Drosophila melanogaster: one gene and its partner. The protein of the gene in region 2 interacts with the protein of the main gene of each other region in a pairwise test. Each region holds a gene or a part of one and is shown on either strand. Other genes may lie near its edges.

Region 1 (10,367 bases), on a different chromosome or scaffold from region 2:
CTCAGCCTTGATATCGTCTATCAACTCCTGGGCAAACATAGAAAGGTACGTTTCCTTAAAGTCCTTAAAGAATAGCGTGCTTCATTTTAATATTTTTTAATTAAAGCAGCCGTACAGACCCCAAAACAAACGACACACCAGAAACAAATTGGAAAAAACTTGATTTAATTCCAATTTACCAACTTATGCACGATAAATAAAAGCATGATTCTAAATTTTGGTAAACCTCCAAGAACGCGCACACTTTGACATTTTAAACTGCGGCTTTATCGCGCCAAAATTTTTAACCATGAAAATATTCTTGTGTTGGCAATGCTTGAAGTACAGTAATTTTTGCTCGCAACGTATGGCCACACTGCCAATTTATTTGTAAATTTGATACCCTGTATGTAAATATATTGGATAGAACATATATGTTTTGTAGTTATCGTTGGCAAAATTAGAACAACCTTTACATTAATTGTAGATATTTTCAAAACATGAATAACAATATGATTTGTTTCAAACGCCACATGCTTATCTCCAGCCCTGACATTCGATAAGCATATATCGATAAAGTCGTGATTGGGGTTGCACCTATTCTAGCGCAAACAACACATACACGTGCACGTGACGACAATGAGTAAAAAACCGCATTCCATAAAAGTTCCCACCCAATACAGGGCGACTGCCAAGATTTTGAAGGCGGCACTGGAGCAGCAGAAGTGCATCAAGACCCTAATATTTGCAGAGAAGCATGCCGTAAGTGGATTGGACCTCTCGTCCGCAGATCAAACCAATATGCGTATAACTTTTCCCTCTCGCACTTCACTTGTAGCGTACACGCTCTTTGCATACGGTTCTGAAAAAATTTAGCGAAAATCGTGTGGCACTGGAAAAGGCCATCGAAGAGACAGGACTGCTCAGGGACAATCCCAGTTTTGATCCCAGTTTGGCCAAGATTCTAGTCACCGAACTGCTGTTTGGCAGGAAGGAGCTGAACGGCGAAAGCAAACCCGTGCAAACGGTGCGAAGTTACAAGGATCGACTGCTAAATTCCATCAGAGATTTCGGTGTCCAGCGAAAAGGCAGGTTATCACACCGATTACCAGTATTAGCCGGCTGAGATGGGCAAGAAGAACAGGAAACAACAGCATGTCGATGTGGTGCCAGCTACCACTGATGATTCCCCGGCTGTCATTGATTCTCCCGTGGAGCATCATACGCAGCAGGAGGACACCAGTGCGGAGGTCTTCCTCTGGCTGTTGGCCTACAGTGTGCTCATGTTCACGCTGCCCTTCTTGGGCTTCTATGGCGTCCGCAGCTGGCTGCAGGAGTCCTTCCCCCATTTGGACCTTTTCACGGTCAACTGTTGGTCAGTTCTCACGGCTGTTGTGGTTGTTAACCTCGTGGTGGCCATGTATGTATTAAAGGCTTTCCGCGAGAAGCCCCCACCACCCTTGGAACCCGTGCAGCAGGATGAGGACGACGAGCCGGAAGCTGCGGAGCCAAAGAAAGAACAGTAACTTAAGTGCTGCCAGCCAAGTCCAGATTATTTCGATCGTTTAAAGGACCAGTAACGACTCTTAACAACTCTTAATAAATCTTACTTTGGCTACAATTTTGAACTCGTCTTTTTGTTTGCCCACACAGAACCCAATCCTCGATATGTGCGCATCAACACAAATCTATACAGCTTGGCGGAGGCCTTGGACTACCTGCATAAAAGCGACTGGCGGCGCAAGGAGCTGCCTGCGGACGCCAGCTATGCGGATTTTCTGACTGCCATCAAATCGCTGGCGGAGAACGAGTTCATGACCGATCTGCACGTTGAGGGTGTGCTCATTTTTCCTGCCAAGTGGTCCAACTACTGGGTCCGCCATCCGTTGGTGCACAGCAAGAGGTTTATACTGCAGAACAAGGCCACCTGTTTGGCCGCCGAACTACTTGCTCCGCCGTCTGGGGCCACTGTGCTGGATATGTGCGCAGCTCCCGGTATGAAGACAGTGCACATATGCAATGTGATGCAGAACAAGGGATGCATCTACTCCGTGGAGCAGGACCACGTACGCTACAATACGCTGTGCGAAATAACAAAGGATGCTGGTTGCGATATTGTAAAACCCATTTTGGGAGACGCCTTGAACCTAAGTGAGTTTTATATTTATATATTTCACAATGAATATTTAAAAAAGTAACACGTTTGAATTTCAGCACCCGAACGCTTTCCGGACGTAGAGTACATCCTGGTGGACCCTAGTTGCTCTGGCAGCGGAATGCAAAACCGCATGACCGTGTGCGACGAGCCGAAGGAGGACAAGCGGCTGCAAAAGCTGCAGGGTTTGCAAATTAAGATCCTGTCGCACGCGATGGGCGCCTTTCCGAACGTCAAACGCATTGCCTACTGCACGTGTTCGCTGTGGAAGGAGGAAAACGAGCAGGTGGTGCAGCGTTGTCTTCAGCTAAATCCATCCTTCAAGCTGCTCAGCTGCAAGAAGGCCTTGCGCAACAAGTGGCACAATGTGGGCGACAAGGACTATCCCAATATTGGCAAGAACGTCCTGTATTGCCAGCCGGACAGTGATCTTACCGATGGCATCTTCCTGGCCCTTTTCGAGAAACGCCGCGAGGGCGAAAAGGATTAGTTGTTTCAAACGCAAGAAGGACATTTGTTTCCTTAAATTGTAACCATTTCTTTATTTGGCACTCGAGCCATTGAATTTTTCATTTTCAGAATATGTGTACACATTTTTTAAAAAAATAAAAAAATTATATAATGCTGGCGGTTGTTTCATGTGTGAAAAATTGATCAATGGTAAACAAAATTGAATAAATATATAACATATATATATATATATATATATATATATATATATATATATATAGATATGTGTGTTGAAATGAATACTTGCGATACATGTAATAAAAATACTCTTCGCTTATCTATCAAAAAGTGCGGAATGTCAAAATTTAAAATTTTACAATGAATGCGTAGCCGACGACGAAAGTGTTCCTTGCTATTTCCTTTAGCAAGATTTAAATTTAGATTAAATTCTAATGATACGATTGACAGTTCGAAATTCAAAGTGTTCCTTTTTCAAAATTTAGTAAAGATTGTAGATCAATTGTAGATATATCGAAATTTTTCGGCCGCAAGCGAACATTTTACGAAATGAAGGCGACCAGTTGCAGACCAATTCCATTCATCAACTTTCGGATTGTAAGATATTTCTATCGGCCACGACGATTGAACAAGTATTACGATATTGTAAGTCTTCTTTAACAAAATTAGTTTCCCTTTCACAGAAACAGACATAAATTCTTGAATTATTGACTTGGATTTGAGTGATCGTTCGTTGTCTATACTATAAGATCTATAGGCACGGGATAACGCTCTAAATCTCTTTAAAATCGAACGCGCCAGGCGCTATTTAAACGTTACTATCTATCTATCTGGTTAACCCAGCTTTGATCGGAATGCGTATATATATTTCATGTTATATAAACGCTGCAAAAGCTGCCAGAGCCTCTGCTCCAGAGCTGGATTCGCCCTCTCTAAACCTTCATCTGTTGCTTGTAGTAACTGCTCTTGGCTAGGCGGAACGATTCCGCCTTGATCGCATCCTCCATGGTGATGATCGGCTTCTTGGGGCAGTACTTAATCGTGTGCGCCGAGTCCCCAGATGCCCCGCAGATGGGGCACACGTAGGTGCGTAGTTTGGGGCACAGCACTCGGTTAAAGTTATCTCGCACTGAGTGGCTATTGATAACCGCCTCTGGTTCGTTGTTATTCTCACAAAAGACGCAGTGGCGGCTGATCTGTTGGAGAAACAAGATAACAAATATATTTTGCAAGTTTTAATTCTGCGAATCCTGGATCAGATCCACTCACCTCTTTGGCCTTGCTGTTGTAACGCTTGTACACCTTGTTGTTGTTGTTATTATTGTTACTGGAATTGGAAGCTCCGCGCAGCTGTTCGCCCTGCACGGGCAATCCCAGACCCATTCCCACGCCGAGATTGGTGGACACAGTGGCCGCTGTTTGGGCCTGCAAACCCATTGTATTGGGAGCGGCTGGTATATACGACATGTTTCGCCACACGTTGTTCAGATGCTCCCGGTAGTTGTTCAGCCAGTGGGTGGCGAGTGGAATGGGCATTAAGTTGCCGCCATTGGTCTGCAGCTGGGCAGGATTGCGGCCCAGTGGCAGGTGCAGCCCCTGCTGTTGCTGATGCTGCTGCTGCGGTGGCATTTGCACCTGTGGCGGAGCACTCCCGTAGGACATGCGACCGAGATCATCGCTGGCATAGCCATTGGTCGCGAACTCCTGCATCACATCCTGCATCGAGCCAGCCGCATTTTCTGGGAATAGCAAGCTTTTCATTACCTTGTCCTGAACGTATTTTTTTTATTATTCGCGTTTCAATTGCATTTCAGAAATGTAATAAGCAAATACGGATTAGTTTTTGCATACAAAAAAAAAACAAGAACAGACGAGAAAAAGCAAAGAACTTCTAGAAAATGTAAGACGCAAAATGGCTTTCCGAAGTTAAAACAAAAAGGAATAGCGAAAATGCTAAGGTCAATGGCCGAAAATTCAGGGGCGCTCGAAAAACCTCTTGAAGGGGATACAAGTGTTGGGCAAAGATATATTTTAAAGCACATACAAAATAGTAAAATAAAAAATATACTACACTAAATGGCGAAAATCCTCTGACCTCTGCAGCAATTATACATTTACACAATTTTACTTCTGTTTTGCTCTGTGCTTTCGTTGCCCCTTTAACTAAGCCCATGGCCATTGACTTTGGCATAACTGTACTTGTACAGATAGTCATCTCGCTCCCGCGCACTGTTTTTGGCTATTCTGTTTTAAACGACGCCATATTCGCCATTTCTTCTTACCTGCTGCGCCCGTCGTCACCTGCGCAAAGATTTTCAAGGATCGCGCAATCTCGTCCGTTTGCTGGTGACTCGCACTAGCCGCTGCCGCTGATGCAGCCAGCGCCAATTGGTGCTGCGCCATGGCCAGTTGCTGCTGCTGCTGGAGCAGCAAGTGGTAGTGGTACTGTCGCTGCATAAGGAGCGAATTGGCGGTGGCTGCGCTGTCGGCCAGAAAAGGGAAGTGCGTCGACTGCGCAGACGTCGACGGGTCAGGGGTCACCGGCGTAATGGGCGGACTCAAAGTGGCCGACGAGTTGGCCCCACTGGTATCCAAATACATGTCCTGCAGGCCCAGAATGTTGAGCCCTCCTCTGGCGTGAAAAGCAGAAAAGTTATCCTGCAATTGGAAAATCTTTCCAGACTGAGCCAACGAGGGGGGATTTGCAACACCTACTGCTGCTGCGCCACTGCCCTCCAAGTTGCTGCGGAACATGGCGAAAATCCGGGTCGAAAGTTACGGTTATCGCGCACTCTACTTTCCACAAATCCTCACCCAAAAACCAAGCACAGTTTATTCAACTGAAGTATTCGCGATACTTCTTTATCTAATAATAATGTACATGTAACTAAACTCGCTTTTGGGTTAAAATCGTGACGCAGAGGCAAAAAAAATCGTATGTCCCTTAGACAACTTGAAACAACTGCGAAGCGTACGGCAATTCCAGGAATTTTGTGGTAAAGCTACGCGCCAACTAACGGTTCTTGCTTAGAGGTGGAATAATGTAGTTTTCCAGCGATAATAAATATATCGATATTTTTAGTAAAATTGAAAAGGTAAACTTAATTTTAGAAAATAATTTATAAGAAATTTAATAGTATGCAAAATAATTTTTACTTGCTAAGAATATGTGCCACTAATTAAAAGCTGGACACCGCGCAATGGAAAATAGTACTACAACACAGCAACAAAGCCTGAGTTATCAACAAAAAAATACGAAAACATCTCCCAAAACTAAGCACCCACACGCGCCACTCGCCGTCACAACACAATCACTGCACACCACCATTCGAATTTCGCGCACTGTGACAACATCACATGATATCGGCGCGGCAACATCGGATTACCGACAAAACGAACTATCGCACGAGCCACCGCCGGCGAAGAGCGCTCGTTTTGCAACACCGGCGCGCGCTGAACGAAGAGAACAGCTGACTGCTTGATACGTGCGTGTTTCGCGGCAGGAATTACATAAAGTTTAGAGCCTCTGACGCCAGACCCCCCGAACATTCGCTCCGATCAAACTACCTGCGAACGGTCACCTAATCCCCACCATGGTAGGTTACCTCTGATCCCGGTCATCACTGGCGTTCGCTCACATCCGTCCTTACATGTGCATATTTCGAGGTTAAAACGGTCGAAGCTTTCAATGATTTTTTCTCCTTGCAGTACAGAATAGCTGCCCTTGTGCGGGATCGCGCCTGTCTCTTCACGTGCCAGCAGGCCTCGCAGAACCTGCAGCAGCAGCAGGTTAGAGTTTGGCTCATAAAACCCCATGGCGCAACCGGCCTAAGTCATGACTTTACTCCGCAGCCCCGCTTTTATAGTGCGCCAGGTCGCAGGGCCGGCTTCTTCTCGCAGTTCTTCGACAACATGAAGGCGGAGATGGATAAGAACAAGGAGATCAAGGACAATATCCGAAAGTTCCGTGAGGAGGCCCAGAAGCTGGAAGAATCGGATGCCCTGAAATCGGCGCGGCAAAAGTTTAACATTGTCGAATCGGAGGCGCAAAAGTCGTCTAGCATGCTAAAGGAGCAGCTGGGCGCCATCAAGGAGCGCGTAGGCGATGTTCTGGAGGACGCCAGCAAATCCCACCTGGCCAAAAAGGTTACCGAGGAGCTCTCGAAGAAGGCTAGGGGGGTCAGCGACACGATCTCCGACACCAGTGGCAAGCTGGGCCAGACCAGCGCATTCCAGGCTATCTCTAACACGACGACGACCATCAAGAAGGAGATGGACAGCGCGAGCATAGAGAATCGTGTCTATCGTGCTCCTGCCAAGTTGCGAAAGCGCGTCCAGCTCGTCATGAGCGATAGTGATCGCGTTGTGGAGCCCAACACGGAAGCCACTGGTGAGTCTCCATCTTTTTCCTTCAATAAGATCAAAGGTCATGGCCATAATGTAATGTTACTTTTCAGGTATGGAGCTGCACAAGGACTCCAAGTTCTACGAGTCGTGGGAGAACTTCAAGAACAACAATACCTACGTGAACAAGGTGCTTGACTGGAAGGTTAAATACGACGAGTCCGAGAACCCTGTTATTCGTGCCTCCCGCCTGCTGACCGATAAAGTGTCCGACGTCATGGGTGGACTCTTTTCAAAGACAGAGCTTTCGGAAACGATGACGGAGCTGGTGAAAATCGATCCGAGCTTTGATCAGAAGGATTTCCTCCGCGATTGCGAAACGGACATCATTCCAAATATTCTGGAATCGATTGTCCGTGGGGATCTGGAGATTCTGAAGGATTGGTGCTTTGAGAGCACTTTCAATATTATCGCAAATCCCATTAAGGAGGCTAAGAAGGCCGGCGTGTACCTGGACTCCAAGATCCTCGACATCGAGAACATTGAACTGGCAATGGGCAAGGTTATGGAGCAGGGCCCGGTACTGATTATCACGTTCCAAGCCCAGCAGATTATGTGCGTGCGGGACCAGAAGAGTCAGGTCGTCGAGGGAGATCCGGAGAAGGTGATGCGGGTTCACTACGTCTGGGTGCTGTGCCGCGACCGCAACGAACTCAACCCCAAGGCTGCCTGGCGGCTGATGGAGCTGTCCGCCAACAGCTCAGAGCAATTTGTTTAGCGCGCTGCCACGCCTTTCTTTTTTACCGAGCCGTTTAAGTTTCCCTCATTTTCTCATCCAAAAAACAAACGAAAAGATTACTGGACACTGAGCATTGACGACGAACTGACCACGAACTCGACCCGCAGGAATCTATTAAGTGTGTACAAAGGTTTCGCTTTCGATTGCTTTGAAAGTTTTGTCCGCCACTAGTCAACTGCGTCCGCCCGGCAGGGGCTGCTGGTCGGTCCCGTGAACGATTCCCCCACGAATTCCGGGCACAGCAGACTGCCGGCTCCGGCGCGGCTCATATCCCAAATGACGCCCCGGTTGGCCGTTCCTTGCGGCCACGCCCACCGCCGATCCACTTCCGGCTAGCACGGAAGGAGTGTTCGGTGCGGGGATTGGCCGTCGGGATCGTGGTTCCTCCGCTGGTGTCCTGGCCAAATCTATAACGTTGAAGCTTAAAGTGCAACCGCCGGTGTATAAGGCGTATAAGTAGTGACCATAAGCAAATTGTTGAGTGTAGTTGAGTTTAGGTATTTTAAGGCCCCAACCCTTTCCGACACCCCCCCCCCTCCCAATCCCCACCCCCTTCTCTTGTAAATATGGAATTCGCTCAGGGCGGCTTGGGCATCGTAAATTGACTGTACACACAGAATCCAAAGAGTTGTATGTACGTACACATCGAGCGCCACTCAGAATGTCTAGAAAAATAAAAATACTTCAATATTTTTACATGTACCATTTAAGCAGCTGGCGAATTCTTGTGAAATAAGTGTTATGTTTCCTTACCCTAATCACAGACATCCAAGTTTATGGTTGCCCCATGGATCGGGCATCCGTAAGCGCCACTTGCTACTAAGTGGGCAAAATAAAAAAAATCCAATACTTTTACATAATCCATTCGATTGGGTGTTTTTAAAACATGGAATGCTTTATTTTCCGATGACAGTTGTAAAACATTTTAATTTTACCTTGGTTAATAAGTAGTATAAACTTGCTGTTTTGAGGGAGAAAATAGTTTGTTGCTCAAATAAAAATGTTTGCAAATACCTAAGTAGTCATTGTTTTCTATGCATGTGATTCATGTATCTCAAAAACTTGAAAAATATTTTGATGTTTGTGACAAAAACAGTGATTATAAATTAGAGACATTTTTATTTGATGAATAATTAGCATAAAAAAGCCTATAAGTATTTGATTTTTTAATTCACAGAATTCATTCATGACCCACTTCGTTATTCAAAATAGCACATATCAGGAATAAAATGTACTGAATAATAATAATAATTTATACCTTTAACAATCGGTTAACGAGCAAGGTGGTAAAATCCGAGCAAAGTTAAGAATGCTAAGTAATTTCTTCGTTTCGAATACCCCCAACAGTAAGTCAATGTTACTGCCTCGATCGGTTAACAGAGAGTTAACAGAGTTGGGGTTAACTCGGCTGGCTCTCAGCTTGAGTTTGTCATTCCGCACGGAAAGCTCGTCGCGAACGCACGTAAAACTGGCAAGGCGGAGAAATATAACAAACATTTACAATTTGGCCCGCAGAATAAGCCGAACGAGCGCTTAATCATCGAAAAGTATCCAGCGATCGAGTGGCGCGTAACCTGTGCGTGAGTGATAAGGAGCTAATTGATAAAGGAAGTGACGACGGTGCCCGCATATCTACATAAATTCGCAATATGATGGCACTGCGGAAAACTTTGGTCTTCAACAGTGCGCTTCTGTTGGTTCTGCTGCTGGCGGAGTGTAAGTACCACGACAGATAAAAAGATATAACTACAGTGACAACGGGCGAAACAAGATAGATAGACACGCACACTCGATGTTTCCACTTCTGCAGCGAAACTAGTTTGCAGCGCAGCTGGATGGGATCGAGTTGGAGCGGCCACTTGGCTAGACAGCTAACAGTTTACGGTTCACCCTTTGCCTTAAGTGCCAGCCAAGATCGAAGACCATGTCCGGTTCGGGACGCCTTTATGGTGAAGCCCGCCCGGTTTACAGCGCATAAATATGGGGTTTTTATTGAATGGTTCGACCGCCCGCCGTCCCGTCGCAATGAATCGTCGTCCATCAAGGTCCCGCCAGGTCGCGAAATTAAATTGCAAGACTTTAATTCCATGGGGGAACTCCATCCATCCAGCTGGCTTCGCAGTGCAGATAAGATTTCGCCAGGCCTTTTGCGCTATATTGGTAAATGATCGCTACGCAGGAATTGTAAGCGAACAGTTGTGGTCAAAATAATAGGCGTTGTTGTATAAATCCTGCCAAGAGGGAACTATTCAGATGGATAATTGGGTTTCAGATTTCTTTTTTAAATCAATAAGTTCTAAAAGTACAATTTGTTGAAATGATAGTGGACATTCTAGCATTGGATTTTCATGTTGTATTTTTCATTTTTAAGCTTGAAAGCCAATTAATTTAATTACAATATAATCCTTAAAATTTCCTTACTATTACTACTATTACATAACCAACGAGATTACTTTATAACAAATGGCCAAATGACTGCCGTTCCTTCCTGCAGATTATGAGGTGTCAGAACTTTATGAGCTGGGTCTTAACTTATATTATTTGTCCTAAAGTTGTTAGCACCCGCAACTCAGTGATAAGAACTCTCCGGACTCTTTGACACTTGTCAAAAGTGGATCAAGT
Region 2 (5,990 bases):
GGCCCCAATAACCTGCAGTTCCAGAACCCGCACGACGTGGCCGTTACAGCCGACGGCAATGAGATCTACGTGGCCGAGCTGAATCCAATGCGTATCCACAAGTTCGTCCACCGATCTCTGGCCAAGCCAATGTCCTTGTCGGCCAGCAAGGACTCTAGGGACAGCGCTATTAGCCAAGCTGTGGGAGGGGACCAGGTTCCCGCAGTGGCTGTGCACCACCCGAGCGGCAAAGCAATCCTGGTGGCTTCGCTCATGCTCCTTTTCGCCGGCTCTACCTTTGCCTTGGCTTTGATCTTTGCGCGGCGGAGGAAACGAGGTAACCAAGCGAACAGCTCCGCTACGCCCAGTGACTTGGTGTACCGAAAGCTGACTGCTTCCACCCAGAGTCTTGGCTGATCGGTAGTGCTAACTCCTCACTCAATGTCCTGTGTTGTGCTGTCACACTTAACTGATTTAGTGTCCTGTACTTATAAGCTCCAACCTGTTTACATTTGTATCCACAATTGAATCTCCCTATTTACGCTTTTTTTGGTGTCGTTAATTACACAGCATGTCCACTTCTTGTGTGTTCTGTATTCGTTGGCTTACTTTTCGTTCAACTTTATTGTAATTAAAATTTATACCGCATTTATATACAAATTATATACAACTTTTTATACAAAATACATAAGCATACAAACAAAATTTACGTTTATCCTTAAGTGTATTCTGTTTTCGTTTTTGGTTTGTTCCAGTGCACGCCAGATCGCAGATCTATGCATGAACTAAGAAGGGAATGGGGTGACTAGTGTTATTGCTCATATAAATCCCATGGTAATTGTTAGTTAATCAGTTGTACCAACATATCCCACAGGTTGCCTGCCTTTCGGAGCACGCGGTCGTCGCCACGCGTGGGAGAAAAGCGATGGCTTCAAGCTGGGCGGACTTCTCGATCGGGATCGCAACGGATTCGAGAAGCTGGACCAGCAGGCCAGCGACGAGGAGCAGGAGACGAAGACACTGGCGAGTGCCCAGTACGCCTAGGCGAAGGACCAAGACTTACGCAGCTAACAAAGCATTCCTAGTTCTAACTACCTGTACCTCATTGAAATACCGACTTAGTTTTACGCGAGCTATGTATATGTGTGTACTTTAGGTAACTTTATTTACCTTCCTTGTGGTGCATATCGCAGAGAATTCCGATCGTGGTGTATTTCTAGTTGATTTATTGAGCCGTTTGTTCAATGTATTTTAAACAGCTTATTTATGGAAACTTCTTTTGGAGAACCGACTATGCGATTTTTTTCCGGTTACTTATATTTATTCTTTATTTAAAAGAATACATTTTTAAAACGCATGCCTCTAAAGAGCTCGAAAATATCTGAAATATTGTAAGTGCCACAGAGTCCAATGACTTGACCACATCCTTTAAATTAATTTTTTTTTTCGAATTAAATCGAAGTTCTCAGCGAATGCGCCTCATATATTGCGATTAATTTGCCAAAAAGAATATAGTCGTATGAATCTGTCATAGTGTGTATTTCGATTATTTAAAGTCTGCGGCTTAACTAGATTTCGTTATAAATAGGTGTACAACATATTGTGTCGACTTGCAAGGCCCCATAGTGGCGAATATGTTTAGCCCCTTTCCTCGTCCCTGGTTGCCACGATCCCAGAAGACCTAGGGTTTAGCTTCTGGCTGGCGGTCAGACAACCTGGGCGAGGAAACCCTCATTCTCCTCCGTTACAATAGCATCGATGTTGTAGAATATAGCATGCATAGCAATCACGAAGCATGAAGCACCCAGCGTCCAAAACAAAACCGCACCCGCGCCCACCAGGAATAGCACTGGTGCCGTCGCCAGATTGAGTGCGATGATCTGCTGGCTGGGCGTCAGTTGTTGTCCCACGATGGTAATGTTACTGTTGCGCACGCGCAGCTTATGGCAGCCAAAAGCGGAAGCCAGGATGACCAGCAGAATGCAGGGAGCCGTGATGCTTAAGATTATAACTATTAAATGGGGTGCAATAAGGTTTTTAGAATCACTTACAGGCAGTATATCATCAGTACAAAAAAGATGAAAACGTAGTTGGCCTGAAAATAGGAGAGATTCCGAATAACCCGGCTATTTAGCCGCTGCATGCTGATGGCCGTTTTGAAATTGTTGATGTTGAAGAAGACTACCCAGGGCCGCAGGGAGTTTCGGACCATTTGGAAGATCTGCAGCGGTGATGGCAGGTTGGATAGCGAGGGCAGGCTGCAGGGTTCAAGAGTAATTAGCTATTCGCTCCTTGTTACGGTTTACTCACCTTTGCATGTCCACGGAGAACCTGCCTCCGGAAGGCGGTGGCGGCTGCATGTTACCGGATAGGTTCCCGCCAGTGTGTGCCATTTTGCTTGTGCTTTCCCAACCTCGTCCTAACACTTATCTTAGATACACGTCTTCGCTGCAATCTACAATTCTTCTTTCGACAAGTGTGGGCGTTCCACAAGTGTTATGTGTATCTTTGGATTCGTTCCACTTGGTCCAAGAACTGTCTTGAGGATGCTGCGGCGTTTGTAAAGCGGCGAGGACTTTAGCGGGGTCACTTCTACATGGAGGCGGCAACACTTTCGATGTTGATTTTACGATTCACTCTTAATTTGCTATGACATCGTTTTCTTTTGAGAAACAGTATACAAAGTTTGAAAAATCTGATGTGGCAGATAGTTCTAGGATTGCCGTTGCCGTGACGTGCGGTGTGGCCAGAGTTGCGAGTGCGCAAATTCTCGAAATCAACTGAAAACAAATCCAAAGCGCTGAATGCAATCAAACATTTAATACAAAACTTTTTCTCTAAACATTTGAATTATTTTTTAATGATATTTTTACACAAAACAATTATATTTTTCTACCTATTACTCGTGTAGTAGATGGTTATACTAGATTCGTTTAAAAATGTATATATTTTTGATATCCTTGTCTATTAACTTGAACTATTAAAGCTAGAAAGTTAAGATTAGAAATTCAGTTTCTTTCTGATGATGCAACGCCACAATTTAAAAAAATGAATCGATTTTTTTTCATTTTATTACTTGTCTTGCCAATTTCTAGAGCTATGCCAAAAACCTTTTACCACGCCCATTTTAACACTGAAATCTGCTACGTCTTCACTTTTATGTGTAGACATTTTTTAATTTTACTATTTGTTATCAGTATGGCAAAAGATATGTTGGATGCGCCCAAACCAAACCAAACCCACACTTTTAAAAAGTTACTTGCCTATTTTTCATCTTATTATTTTTTTTTCCAATTTGTATAGATAAGCCAAAATGAATGTTGAACTTTTCCACCAGCTGAGTAATTGGTATCTGATAGTCGAGGAACTGGACTATATAGTTCTCTCTGCTTAAAAATGTTTTCATCACAGAATTACTTATTATTTCTTTTAACAAGGCCAAACAAAGCAAACATATTAAGCAATTCTTTTAATTTCCTTTTATATAAGTAGGCGTAACGAAAGAAATTTTAAGAGTCTGCGTTGCTTTACAAGTAACAGGTAAGAATCGCGCTGATATTTTAAATATTTTTTGAACAATTTATTTGACGGATAACACAACATCCATTAAATTTTTCTCAGGTCTTCTGGCTAATACATACATATCTTATATTTCTTGTATCTTGTATACACACTCAGGTTAAATGTTACATTTCTATTTACATTTACCAACAAAGAGTTTTAGAAGTTAAGAGAGTTTTCATTTGCATTACCATTATGAATATAGACTATATAATAAAAGTTCTAACTTAGATATATTTACAGATATGGATTTTTGACGTCATAACATATTGCTGGTGTGACACAAGTGATAAGTATTTTTTCACAGTTCCGGTATGAATCAGATTTTTGATTTTAACTTAAAAAAATTGTGTCTTGAAATATTCAGAATGGATTTATATTTGTTTACGGAGATGGAAATTGATTATCATCTTTTTGTTCAACGGTATTTTGGGATTGTGGAGAAAGTAAAAAATAAATCTCGTTCTAGTCACGCGGTATCAGGGTGATGGTGTCCTTCATTTCCAAAAAACCTGTGAATGTATTCGAGTGTTGCGACTGTTAGATACCTGTTACTCAGTTTATGAACCTGCAACATATGGATATGTAGAATTTGAATAATTTGGCGTGTAGCAAGGATATAGCTCTGATCAATCTATTACTACAGTTTTGATATGTTTAAAAGTAGTAGGATTTGAACGTTTCCTGGTATCCAGAAGACTTTTAGGATGTGAGCGTTTTAGGAGTTTAGGGCGTAACAGGGGCGTGGCACGGTTTTAAAGAAAACTTACATGCTTCCTTACTCTTAATGTTTCCGACATCTCGACATTCATACGGACGGACAGGCAGGCCATTATAATTAACCCAAGGAAAGTTGTGGATTGGACATCGTGCCATGAATCATTTTAGCAATCGAGATAAGCTTGAACTTTTAAGACCAACTGGCTTTTGAATTCAGTATTCGGTTAGGCTTTGACATTTCAAGATGGTCTCGATCCATTTTTATTTGGCACTTTTGCTTCAAGCGATTTCCTTGGCGAATTCTTTCCAATTTGGTAAATAGTGGCAACTACAATACAATATACATATCTACAATTTCATCGGATCAGTGTCAGTGTTAAATATATACTTTGGCAGCTCACGGATCTATTTTTGGTCTCAACAATAATTAATACCTTATAATTACAAAATTGGAACTTCATTGGGTTGATTTCGCTACACAAAACTATAGTCTTACCAGGAAAATGCAATCTTTAATAGGATTTCATACAGTGTTACAAATGCTATTTTCGGCCATTTTGAGCTCCATTAATTGGTCAATTTTTGTTACCCCCCTTAGCAAAATTCAATTTTTGCCGACTAGACGAGATTTGCATCCCACTGAGCAAATGTGAACCTCTTATGAAGATTCTACATCCCCGGAACATGACAAACGATCAAAAATCACAGTACCGGAACAAACTATGCAACATTAATCCTTTTGCCCACGAGCTAGTGCACATGGTTTTTACCTGCTGCCCGATGGTTGCAGGGGATAAACTACCAGATAGCAGGGTCTGCGGACAGAGTCCTCCTTCGTCATATATCGTAGGCGGCATGGAGGCACAGTCCAACCAGTTTCCCTGGACAGTCCTGCTGGGTTACGAAGCCTACACAGCAAAGCAGCGACCGTCTCCCATGTGTGCGGGCTCCTTGATCGCCAGTCGCTATGTGCTGACGGCAGCCCATTGTTTGAATGTGAATGACTTCTACGTGGCACGTGTGCGCCTGGGCGAGCATGACACCGAGAACGATCCCGACTACACCTGGCTGCCGAATGGAGCCAAGATATGGGCTCCAGCGCACGTGGACATCGATGTGGATCTGAGGGTTCCGCACGAGCAGTACTACACGAGAAATGGAAGACACTACAACGACATTGCTCTGTTGCGTCTGAAGAGTCGGGTGAAGTAAGTAGTGTGCTCTTTGGGGTTCCCTCTTTTCACATTTTCCCATCGATGTCCTCTCTTTCAGATACACTCTTCAGATCAGACCCATTTGCATTTGGCCTGGCATTGAATTGTCAACTTCCTCCTTCAAAAACTTCCCTTTTCAAATTGCCGGCTGGGGCGATTCGGGTCTGCAGCAAAAAAGCACCGTACTTCGCCAAGGCACCATCAGTGGAATGAGTCCGGATGAATGCTTGAATCGGTATCCAACACTGCTCGTCGATAAGGACATCCAGATATGTGCCATGGGATGGGATGGCACCGACACCGGACTGGGAGATTCCGGTAGCCCGCTGATGGCTTCGGTGGGCAGGGGTGCTGATCAATTTTATTACCTAGCCGGAATAACGTCCTACGGAGGGGGACCCTCCAGTTACGGATATGGGCCAGCGGTTTACACGAAAACTTCCTCATATTATGAGTGGATAAAGAAGAAAATCAATGATATCGCTGAAGATGAACGTAAAATGAAATACAAATCTG

What was found.
Region 1: the proteins of CG1418 (region 2) and CG11779 interact in a two-hybrid assay, tested with the Drosophila melanogaster proteins (one large-scale study listed by BioGRID).

The regions. Positions count from the first base shown.
Region 1 is NT_033777.3:19,152,490-19,162,856, reverse strand, and holds CG11779 (uncharacterized protein), read left to right. Parts: upstream 1-2,978; 5' UTR 2,979-3,151; coding exon 3,152-3,247; exon of another isoform or gene 3,248-3,534; coding exon of another isoform or gene 3,535-3,798; intron 3,799-3,871; coding exon of another isoform or gene 3,872-4,341; intron 4,342-4,884; coding exon of another isoform or gene 4,885-5,356; exon of another isoform or gene 5,357-5,619; intron 5,620-5,839; exon of another isoform or gene 5,840-6,195; coding exon of another isoform or gene 6,196-6,198; intron 6,199-6,310; coding exon 6,311-6,391; intron 6,392-6,454; coding exon 6,455-6,992; intron 6,993-7,059; coding exon 7,060-7,724; 3' UTR 7,725-8,452; downstream 8,453-10,367. Other genes in the region: CG42359 (uncharacterized protein), read left to right, coding at 1,107-1,505; Nsun5 (Nop2/Sun-like domain containing protein 5), read left to right, coding at 619-741, 818-1,067, 1,633-2,130, 2,194-2,624; nanos, read right to left, coding at 3,535-3,798, 3,872-4,341, 4,885-5,356; CG5835 (uncharacterized protein), read left to right, coding at 9,395-9,461.
Region 2 is NT_033778.4:9,962,345-9,968,334, forward strand, and holds CG1418 (uncharacterized protein), read right to left. Parts: upstream 2,724-5,990; 5' UTR 2,373-2,723; coding exon 2,290-2,372; intron 2,238-2,289; coding exon 2,031-2,237; intron 1,978-2,030; coding exon 1,686-1,977; 3' UTR 1,491-1,685; downstream 1-1,490. Other genes in the region: Pal1 (Peptidyl-alpha-hydroxyglycine-alpha-amidating lyase 1), read left to right, coding at 1-316, 854-1,023; CG12133 (uncharacterized protein), read left to right, coding at 4,921-5,468, 5,533-5,990.